Regions from separate parts of the Mus musculus genome. Here region 1 is reported to be linked to region 2. The links are microRNA targets in miRTarBase. Many come from high-throughput screens and were not tested one by one. Region 2 holds a microRNA gene; the other region holds the end of a gene's coding sequence.
The links. Region 2 holds the annotated microRNA mmu-miR-3100-3p (CUGUGACACACCCGCUCCCAG, at 2,978-2,998, opposite strand). A microRNA usually pairs through its seed, bases 2 to 8, with sites in the 3' UTR of a target mRNA and lowers its output. Matches are read on the target gene's strand: a 7mer-m8 pairs with bases 2 to 8, a 7mer-A1 pairs with bases 2 to 7 and ends in A, and an 8mer does both.

Region 1: miRTarBase lists Ncan as a target of mmu-miR-3100-3p. Seed matches in the 3' UTR shown: 7mer-m8 at 1,214-1,220.

Annotation. Positions count from the first base shown.
Region 1 is chr8:70,092,353-70,096,565 of GRCm38, forward strand. It overlaps Ncan (neurocan), which reads right to left. Exons shown (of 15, transcript NM_007789.3): 15 at 733-4,098. The coding sequence ends at 3,968. Among named protein-coding and RNA genes, the nearest start is that of Mir7066, 8.1 kb to the right of the region's middle.
Region 2 is chr7:19,085,354-19,089,869 of GRCm38, reverse strand. It overlaps Mir3100 (microRNA 3100), which reads right to left and starts at 3,042; the gene lies at 2,978-3,042. Dmpk (dystrophia myotonica-protein kinase) reads right to left here. Exons shown (of 15, transcript NM_001379257.1): 2 at 3,793-3,884; 3 at 3,455-3,538; 4 at 3,286-3,381; 5 at 2,829-2,977; 6 at 2,537-2,630; 7 at 2,170-2,376; 8 at 1,606-1,869; 9 at 874-959.

The sequences.
Region 1 (4,213 bases), not on the chromosome of region 2:
TACCTCCACCTCTGCAGCACTGGGAGGAGGCATGTACGATGCTGCTCTGTTTCTTATCTGGAGGAAAAGGAAGAAAGGAAGGAAGGAAGGAAGGAAGGAAGGAAGGAAGGAAGGAAGGAAGGAAGGAAGGAAGGAAGGGAGGGAGGGAGGGGGAGGGAGGGAGAAAGAGAGAGGGGAGGAGGGAGAGAGAGAGAAAAAGAAAGAAAGAAAGAAAGAAAGAAAGAAAGAAAGAAAGAAAGAAAGAAAGAAAGAAAGAAAGAAAGGAAGGAAGGAAGAAAGAAAGAGAGAGAAAGAAAGAGAAAGAAAGAGAAAAGATACCTTCTATTTCTCCTGCGGTACCCTACTTTCCCTCTGACCGGGCACAGTGTGTGGCTCCTAATAAGGGCTCAGGGCCCATGGCTGTGGCTCACTTAGTGGAGTGTTTGTATCTCAGTTCACAAAGCGCTCTCCTAGCATTCGTAAAGTTCCCAGCACCCCATAAAACAAACCAGCAGTGGATAGGCAGAGGCATATAGATCACAGAGTTTCAGGCAAGCCTGGTCGAAAGAGACACCCTGTCTCAAAAACAAAACAAATGGGAAACTGATCAGTTCAAGATCCTTCTCAGATGCGTAGGGAATTCTGGGCCTGTCTGGGCTATGTGAGTCATCACTCCAAAGAAATGCAGGCTCTCAGTAAACGAGCAGGCAAGTGAGCGGGTGAGGGGCGGGTGAGGGGGCCACAGGCAAGTTGAACTGTTAAAAAATTTTTATTAAAATGTCCAATAAGTCCATTAACATCCACAGTGTCAGATAGCACAGATCCACGGAACATCAAAGCTCCCAGAAAAACAAAAACAAAACAAAACCCAGCAGAACCTGTAGCCATTCTCGCACATACACACTCCTCCCGCATACTGGCCCAAGCAGACACACCAGGGAGGGGGAAAGCTGGAGATGAGGCTCCAGTCCAGAAAAGCCTAAAGCATGCCCCTCCATGGAGCAGGCAGTTCAGGGGCTAGGAAGAACCTCTGAGCCCCAGCAGGCCTCGCCCTCAATCCCCAGCAGGGGATTGGTGTGGTTCCTTCTGAATTAGAAAATGTTACCAAGAAGCTTTGTCCCCAGTCACAGGGACCTTTACGGATCAGGGTCCAGTTTGCTTTTCTCAACCATTTCCCAAGTCTGCTCGTGTGTGTGTGTGTGTGTGTGTGTGTGTGTGTGTGTGTGTGTGTGTGTGTGACAGCAGGTAAGGATTTTAGGTCTCTTCCCTTAAACATAAAGCAAAATTTGGAGCACAAATCAAGACCAGGGTTTGCGAATCGAACTAAGTTGGTAGCGTTCGAAGCACAGATAAGAGTGCTTGGAGCTCAGTTGACAGAGTGCTTGGAGCTCAGTTGACAGAGTACTTGGAGCTCAGGTGTAGAACATTTACTTAGTATGCACAAATCTCTGGGTTCCATCCCTAGCATTGTATACACCAGTCATAGTGCATACCTGCCGTTTTAGTACTTGGGAAACTGAGGCAGAAGGATCAGGACTTTAAGGTTATCCTCAGCTACTGAGTGAATTCAAGGCCAGACTGAGGCCCTGTCCAAAAAATCAACACTTACAGTAATTATAACGCACAGAAGGAAATTCTTGCTCTAGCTCCTCTATCGTAGTCTGTAACTTTGTCTTTCTCTTACAATCAAGTGGAAATGGGAGACTAAGGACCACGTGGGCTGCTGAGAGGATTCAAGGGCATCTCACAAGGCTTTACACGGCTTCTATTCAGTAACTGCCCCAGGCTTTCATTACCTCCTGTGAGCAATGCAGCTCAGTAAACACTTAGGAAGAGCTGGGCATGGACCCCAGAACCTGTGCACCCATCCCTGCCCTGACCCACCCAATCCTACAGTTTTTGAAATTTTTACTTATTTATTTTGTGCTTGTGCAGTGTGTGTGGGGGGAGAGGGTTGTGCGTGTGTTGGAGAATCACCCACATTGTAGTGTGCAGTGGAGGTCAAATGCTACCCTTTAAGGGTTTGCCGTGATCCTCCAGGCTAGCTGGCTCATGAGCTTCCTATAGTCTCAGCACAGGGATGCTGGCACCAGGGTTCACACCCTACCTGGCTTTTCACTTTTAAAACATGGGTCCCAGGGCTTAAACGGACTTCTTCAGGCTTATGCAGCATCTTTACCCACAGGGCTAAGCTCAGGCTCCACTGTGGCTTTAACACAAATTCATAGATTCTACCCACACTGCATGGGCTCTGTGAGGGACCCTGTCCCTGGCTTGGGAAGTCTTTTCTGGAGTGTAGATGGGAAGAGGGAATCCAAAGTGGATTATTTCACATTTTGAAAAATGTAGAACCGGGCGTGGTGGCGCACACCTTTAATCCCAGCTCTTGGGAGGCAGCGGCAGGCAGATTTCTGAGTGCGAGGCTAGCCTGGTCTACAAAGTGAGTTCCAGGACAGCCAGGGCTACACAGAGAAACCCTGTTTCAAAAAAAAAAAAAAAAAAAAAAAAAAGAAAAAAGAAAAGGAAACGGGGAAAAGGAAAAGAAAAAGAAAAATGTAAAACCAGGCGAGAAGGTGTGTTAGTGTGTGTACATGCATGTGTGTGTGTGTATGTGTGTGTGTTAATTCTAAGAGAATTCTTCTTTCTACCATAGGACCATGAACACTGTAAGCATAAAGTCCATCAGGCAGGATGTGGAAACAGAAGTGGGGTGGGGCAGGGATGGAATCTGAGGCAGGAGATTTATTGAGGTCTGCTAAAAAGACAGGCTCTGGGTTAGAAAACATGGCACCATCTTGGTTCAGGCAGAAGGTTGTCTGTCTCCCTGAGAGATGGAGGGGGAGGATACAGCAGCATCCAGCACATTGTACTCCACTGATCTCACTTCTGTGCACACGGGTGTGGGAGATTTTTCATCACAAAGCCACGAAACTGCCACACACGACGGCGTATGCCTGTCACCTTCAGGTGGTTGAGAAAGGATGATTGCTGTGGCCTGAAACCCAGCCTAGGCTCTGGAGATCTTACGTCAATAAAACCAAAGAAGGCTGGGCAGACAGTTCGCTGAGTTCCAGGTTAGCCTGGTCTATATAGCAAGTTCCAGGCCAGCCAGGGCCGCACAGTGAGGCCCTGTCTCAAAACAAAAACAACCCAAAACAGAACCACCAGATCTTAGCACTGCACTAGACCTGGGGAGTCAGCAAGACACTAGCCCTCCCCACCCCCATCGCTCGGAGTAACCTCCCCTAGGAAGCCAAGGAGGCCAGTGGCTCTAAGAGACATCACTAAAATCAGTATATAAGAGTTCCACACTAGATTTAGTGGTCTGAACCAAGACCAAAGACTAGGGCTGGTTAGCAGAGAGAGCCCTGCTCAGTACTAGGTGCCATGTCCAGCACCAAATAAACCAGGTAGGCATGGTGGTGCAGAGGCAGGAGGATTGAGACTTCAAGGACATCTTTCTACAATAGTGAGTTCGAGGCCAGCCTAGTTTGGGGGTTGGAGGTGTTGGAATTGGGAGGGAGGAAGAAGAAAGGGGAAAAAAAAAGAAAACCAGAGGAGTGGAAGTCACCCTTGGGGGATCCCAGGAGATGGCAGGCCATCATGTTTGCTCTGCTGGTCCTCCACTCAGATACAGTGACTTTAGCCAAACCTTCACCATAGATTCAGGATGGTCCACTGTTTCCTAAGCCTGAATCTCTGGTGCGAAAGCCACTCCCCAGCACACACAGACATACTGTTGCCCCTTGTGGATGCAGACTTCAGGACCCCCTTTAATGGCTGGGAAGTGACCTAGAGGCTCAGCCAGACCAGCATGGCCTCTCAGGCTCAGCCACCCCTTCCAGGAGGACCTCAGTAACAGAGGACCTACCGCAGGGGTGTGGGGCTCTGCAGTGTCCCCACCCTCTCTGGTGGATGCTGGGTTCTGGGTCCCCAAGGAAACACTCTGGAGAAGGTGTGGGGGCTTGTGCTTGATTAGCCTGGATCTTTAGCAGAAATCCCCTTCGTCTTTCTCCCAGTCTTCCGCTGGGTGTCTCTTGTGTTTTCTGTGCTCCTTGCGAGGCTTGTGATGTCGGTGTGGATGGTGGTGGTGTCTACGCATCCGATGTGACCGCCTGGCTGCAGGGATGGGAGAGATGAGAAGGGGTGAAGATGGCTGGCTGGATGCCACTGGCCTCCTCAGAGGGATGCAAAGAGAAAAACACTAGGAAGACAGGTGACCTTGGGAAGCAGA
Region 2 (4,516 bases):
ACAAAGTGCATGTGTAGCTGCTTTCCTAGTCTTATGTCCACTTGACACAACAAGCTAGAGTCATCAAGTCATCAGAGAGGAGACAGCCTTCATGAAGAAAATGCCTCTACAGGGCAGGAGCACTGGCTGCTCTTCCAGAGGTCCTGAGTTCAATTCCCAGCAACCACATGGTGGCTCACAGCCATCTGTAATGGGATCTGATGCCCTCTTCTGGTGTGTCTGAGGACAGTGATAGTGGACTCACATACATAAAATAAATAAATAAGACCAGCCTGGTCTACAGAATGAATTCCAAGACAGCCAGAGCTACATAGAAAGACCCTGTCTCTAAAAGACTAAGAAAGAAAGAAAGAAAGAAAGAAAGAAAGAAAGAAAGAAAGAAAGAAAGAAAGAAAGAAAGGAAGGAAGGAAGGAAGGAAGGAAGGAAGGAAGGAAGGAAAGTGCCTCAAAAACTGAAGCTGCAGGCAAGCCTATCGGGCATTTTCATAACTAGTGATCATAGATGAGAGCTCAGCCCATTGTGAGTGGAGCCCTCACTGGCCTGGTGGTCCTGGGCTCTACAAGGAAACAGGCTGAGGAAGACATAAGGATCAAGTCAGTAAGCAGCTCCCCTCCATTGCCTCTGCATCAGCTCCACGTTCCTGCCCCGCTGTGAGTTCCTGTCCTGGCTTCCTTCAGTGATGGGCTCCCATGTGGAAACGTAAGCCCGATAAGCCTTTTCCTCCCCAGCTTGCTTTTAGTCAGGGTTCATCGCAGCAGCAGAAAGCCTAACTTAGACAGCTCCTAGGAATACTTGGTTTGAAGACTGAGCCTTCAATTGAGTGGCTGTGGTGGGCCTGCACACAGGCCCCAGCAGGGGGCAGTCGTGCTCACCTGAAGGCCATGCAGCAGTAGGAGTAGCCCACGAAGGGCAGGCGCACCCCAAGGGGCATGTCTTCCTGCATGTCTGACAGCGTCTCCTAGGAAGACAGACAGGGCTCTTGTGGCTAGCAGTTATCCGAGATGGCCCTTCGCCCCTCTATGTTCACGGCATAACTGCCCCCACTAACAAACTCCACCATTTTCTCTTCTATCTTGTTGCTTTCTATTGGGGCTCTGCCCACACCAGACTTCTCTCTGCAGGGCCTAGAGCTTGTTAAAATGCTGAGAGCACTCACCCGAGAAAGGATCTCCTGCATCCTTCTGGGCTCAGCTAGTCTCCTCCTCCAGGAAGCCCTCCAGCACTTTCCAGGCTGGGTCAAGAGCCCAGCCCCCTACAATCAATTTTAGTACTGCCAAGAGTGAGGCCTCACTCACTGTCTTTGGGACTGGTCACCTGTGTGTCCTCATACCTGAGTGGATACATAGCAGTGCTCTAGGATAATAATTTGGGACCCAGGAAGGTCAACACCCCCTTTTTTATTTTTCAAGGGAGGATCTCACTCCTGACTGGCCTAGAAGTCACTATGTAGACCAAGATGGCCTTGATTTACCAGAGAGCCACCTGCCTCTGCCTATGAAGTTCTACGATTAAAGGTATGCACCACCACACCTGGCCAATCACCCCAATTTTATGGAAGAGGCTAGGGAAGTCCCCTCAACGGATCAGGAACTGCAGGTACGTACCCCGCCCCCGCTCACCATGGCAGTGAGCCGGTCCTCCACCACATCGAAATTGCATGTGTCCGTGGCACCCTCGAAGTCTGGTGTAAAGGGGGGTACACTGTCTCGGAGACCCTCCCAATCAAGGCCAAAGAAGAAAGGATGTTTCTGGAAATCACCTGCCCCACCTCGACCTAGCCTTATCTCAGCAGGACACAGCAGCCCACGAATGAGGTCCTGAGCTTCCTCGGGGACAACTGTGTCTGCCAGCGGCAGCGACAAGTGTTCCTATTTAGAAAGAAAAGCAACAGTTAGCCCTGGGCTGCAGAGCTGGCTCTGTCGTTTCAGTGCACTGGCTGCTCTTGCAGAGTGATCAAGGTTCTGTTTCCCAGCACTCAGCATGGCAGCACACAATAGTCTGTGACTCCAGTTCCAGGGGATCCCATGCCCTCTGACCTTCGCACACCTACTCAGTGCACAGATATACATACACAGAAAACACACACATATAAATAAATATCTTTTAAAAAAGACAGTCTGGGAGCACAAGCCACTAAGTCAGCCCCCCTGCATGGTGCTTGTGCTCACCCTGTAGTGCACAATCTTGGCATATGTCTCGGCTGTGGAGTCCGCGTAGAAGGGGGTCTGCCCATAGAACATCTCATAGGCGAACACGCCCAGTGCCCACCAGTCACACTCTGGCCCGTAGCTGCCTGCCCCAGGCCCTCCACCAACGGCCTGCAGAATCTCAGGAGACAGGTAGTCCGGGGTGCCCACAGCCACCAGCGACCTCACCTGTGCCAATCAGACCTGAATGCTTAAAACCTTTCCCTTGACTGTCCAAATATGGTGCGCAGGACATCCCAGACCAAGCTCCCCTCCTGCTCCTCAACCCAGCCCCGCCCCCTAATCCGGTCCTTCACCAATGAGGAGAGTTTCGCCAGGCTCTTCTTACCATTCCATCAGGCTGCAGTTTGAGGCAGGAGCCGAAGTCTGCCAGGCGAATGTGCCCACATCGGTCCAGCAGAATGTTATCTGGTTTGATGTCCCTGTGCATAGAGAGAAGAGGGAAAGTGTGCTTTCTTGAAAACCTTCCCTCTTAGGGCCCGTCAGCTCGATCCACTTCCACCCCACCCAGGATTCTACAATTCTAGACCCCGATTCTGTCCCCAATGGGATCTGACCTTCAGGTACCCTTCCTTCCCACACAAATTCTGCTAACCCTCCAAGGGCCCCGCCACGCCCACCTGTGCACGTAGCCCAGCCGGTGCACGGAGTCTATGGCCATGACAATCTCGGCCAGGTAGAAGCGAGCCATCTCGGCGGGGATCCGCTCCCCAAACTTGCTCAGCAGCGTTAGCAGGTCCCCGCCCACGTAGTATTCCATGACCAGGTACTGGGAGCGGGTGTGTCACAGGGGTTTGGTAGCCCCCAAGACTCCCAAAGACACCCCGTTCCCAAGCACAGAGGACCCCCGCACAGTGAGAGAGCGCCCCATCCAAAGGCCAAACCAGATATCACTCCTGTCTCAAGGAAGGTCTCTCCTATACTTGAGACACAATCCTACCCCCGTCCCCCATCCCCTGTGTGTGTCCCCCCCACCCCCACCCCCCCGATCTACAGCAGCTTCTCCCTTCTCCAGCCTTCTTGACTTGGGGCGATGTAACTGTCACTCTTTCCTAGTCACCTGAACCCGGAGCTTACCAGGTAGTTCTCATCCTGGAAGGCAAAGTGCAGCTGTGTGATCCAGCGCCGGTCCCCTTTCACTAATACATCCCTTTCTTCCCGGAAGCACGACACCTGTGAGGTAGGAGAGAAGCTACAGGAGGTGAGTTGGAGAGATGAGGGCGCTGCCCTAATCCCTGGCCCTCACCTCGCCTCTCTTCAGCATGTCCCACTTATTCATAATCTTCATGGCATACACTTGGCCCGTCTGTTTCATCTTCACCACCGCTACCTAAATACGGAACCGAGATGACAGCAAGAGGTGGCAGGGAAAACCAGCAAGGCTCACCCAGACAGGACTCCACCCTTATCTCCACCCAACCTTAGCCCCGCCCTCACGTGCACACCGCCCACTGACCACAAGCTCCGCCCCCACCCCTCCAGCCTTAAATTCAAGCTCATTCATCAATTTTTAAGGCTCTGCCCCAGCTGTTATGCCCCACCCACATCAAGTAAAGTTCCATTCCCAGGCCACTGAAGACTCACCTCGCTGAACGCCCCACGCCCGATCACCTTCAAAATCTCAAAATCATCCCTCTGCAGTCGGACCTCCTTAAGCCTTGCTGCAATGGGCTCCACTGGGCGGGGGTGGGGGAAGAAGAACCAAGGGTCATCAGAACACTAGCGGTAAGGGTAGTGACTTTATAGCCTCCTTCCTTCTGCCCCTTAAATCGGCTTTAGGATTCTGCTTTCAAAACCTCTGTGATGTTTGTGGGACCCAGAACTGCCTGTTTCCACAGGGTTGCAGGGCAGAAAGGGAGGCAGTGGGAGAAGCTGGCGCATCAGGCCTTTCACTCCCATGTGATGATCAGGGTGCTAAGTCAGGTCACCCGGGGCTCTCACTTAATGTCTCGGGCCACAACCTCGAACTGGAGCTGTGTCAGCACAGCCAGCACGAAGAAGAAGTGGGGGAGGGTCACTGCCCTCCAGCATCCTGGACACTGTTGGAAGGGCTTTCTTGGTTTCCAAAGGGTGAAGGAGAGTCTTCTTATAACCAAAGCTCCAGGGTATAAGGTCCTGTGCTAGGGTGGTTCAGCCAGAGGGGAGAGCAGCTAGGTCTGAGGCTGGCGACTGGGGGTGCGGGGTGGGCAGAGGGAGGTCAGATCTCCCTTAGGGAAGTTCTAAGGCCGGGGAGTAAGGATGGAGGAGGGACGTGTGGGGAAGCGGGGAGATGGGGTCACAGAGAAGAAAGGGGTTTGGGAAAGTGGGC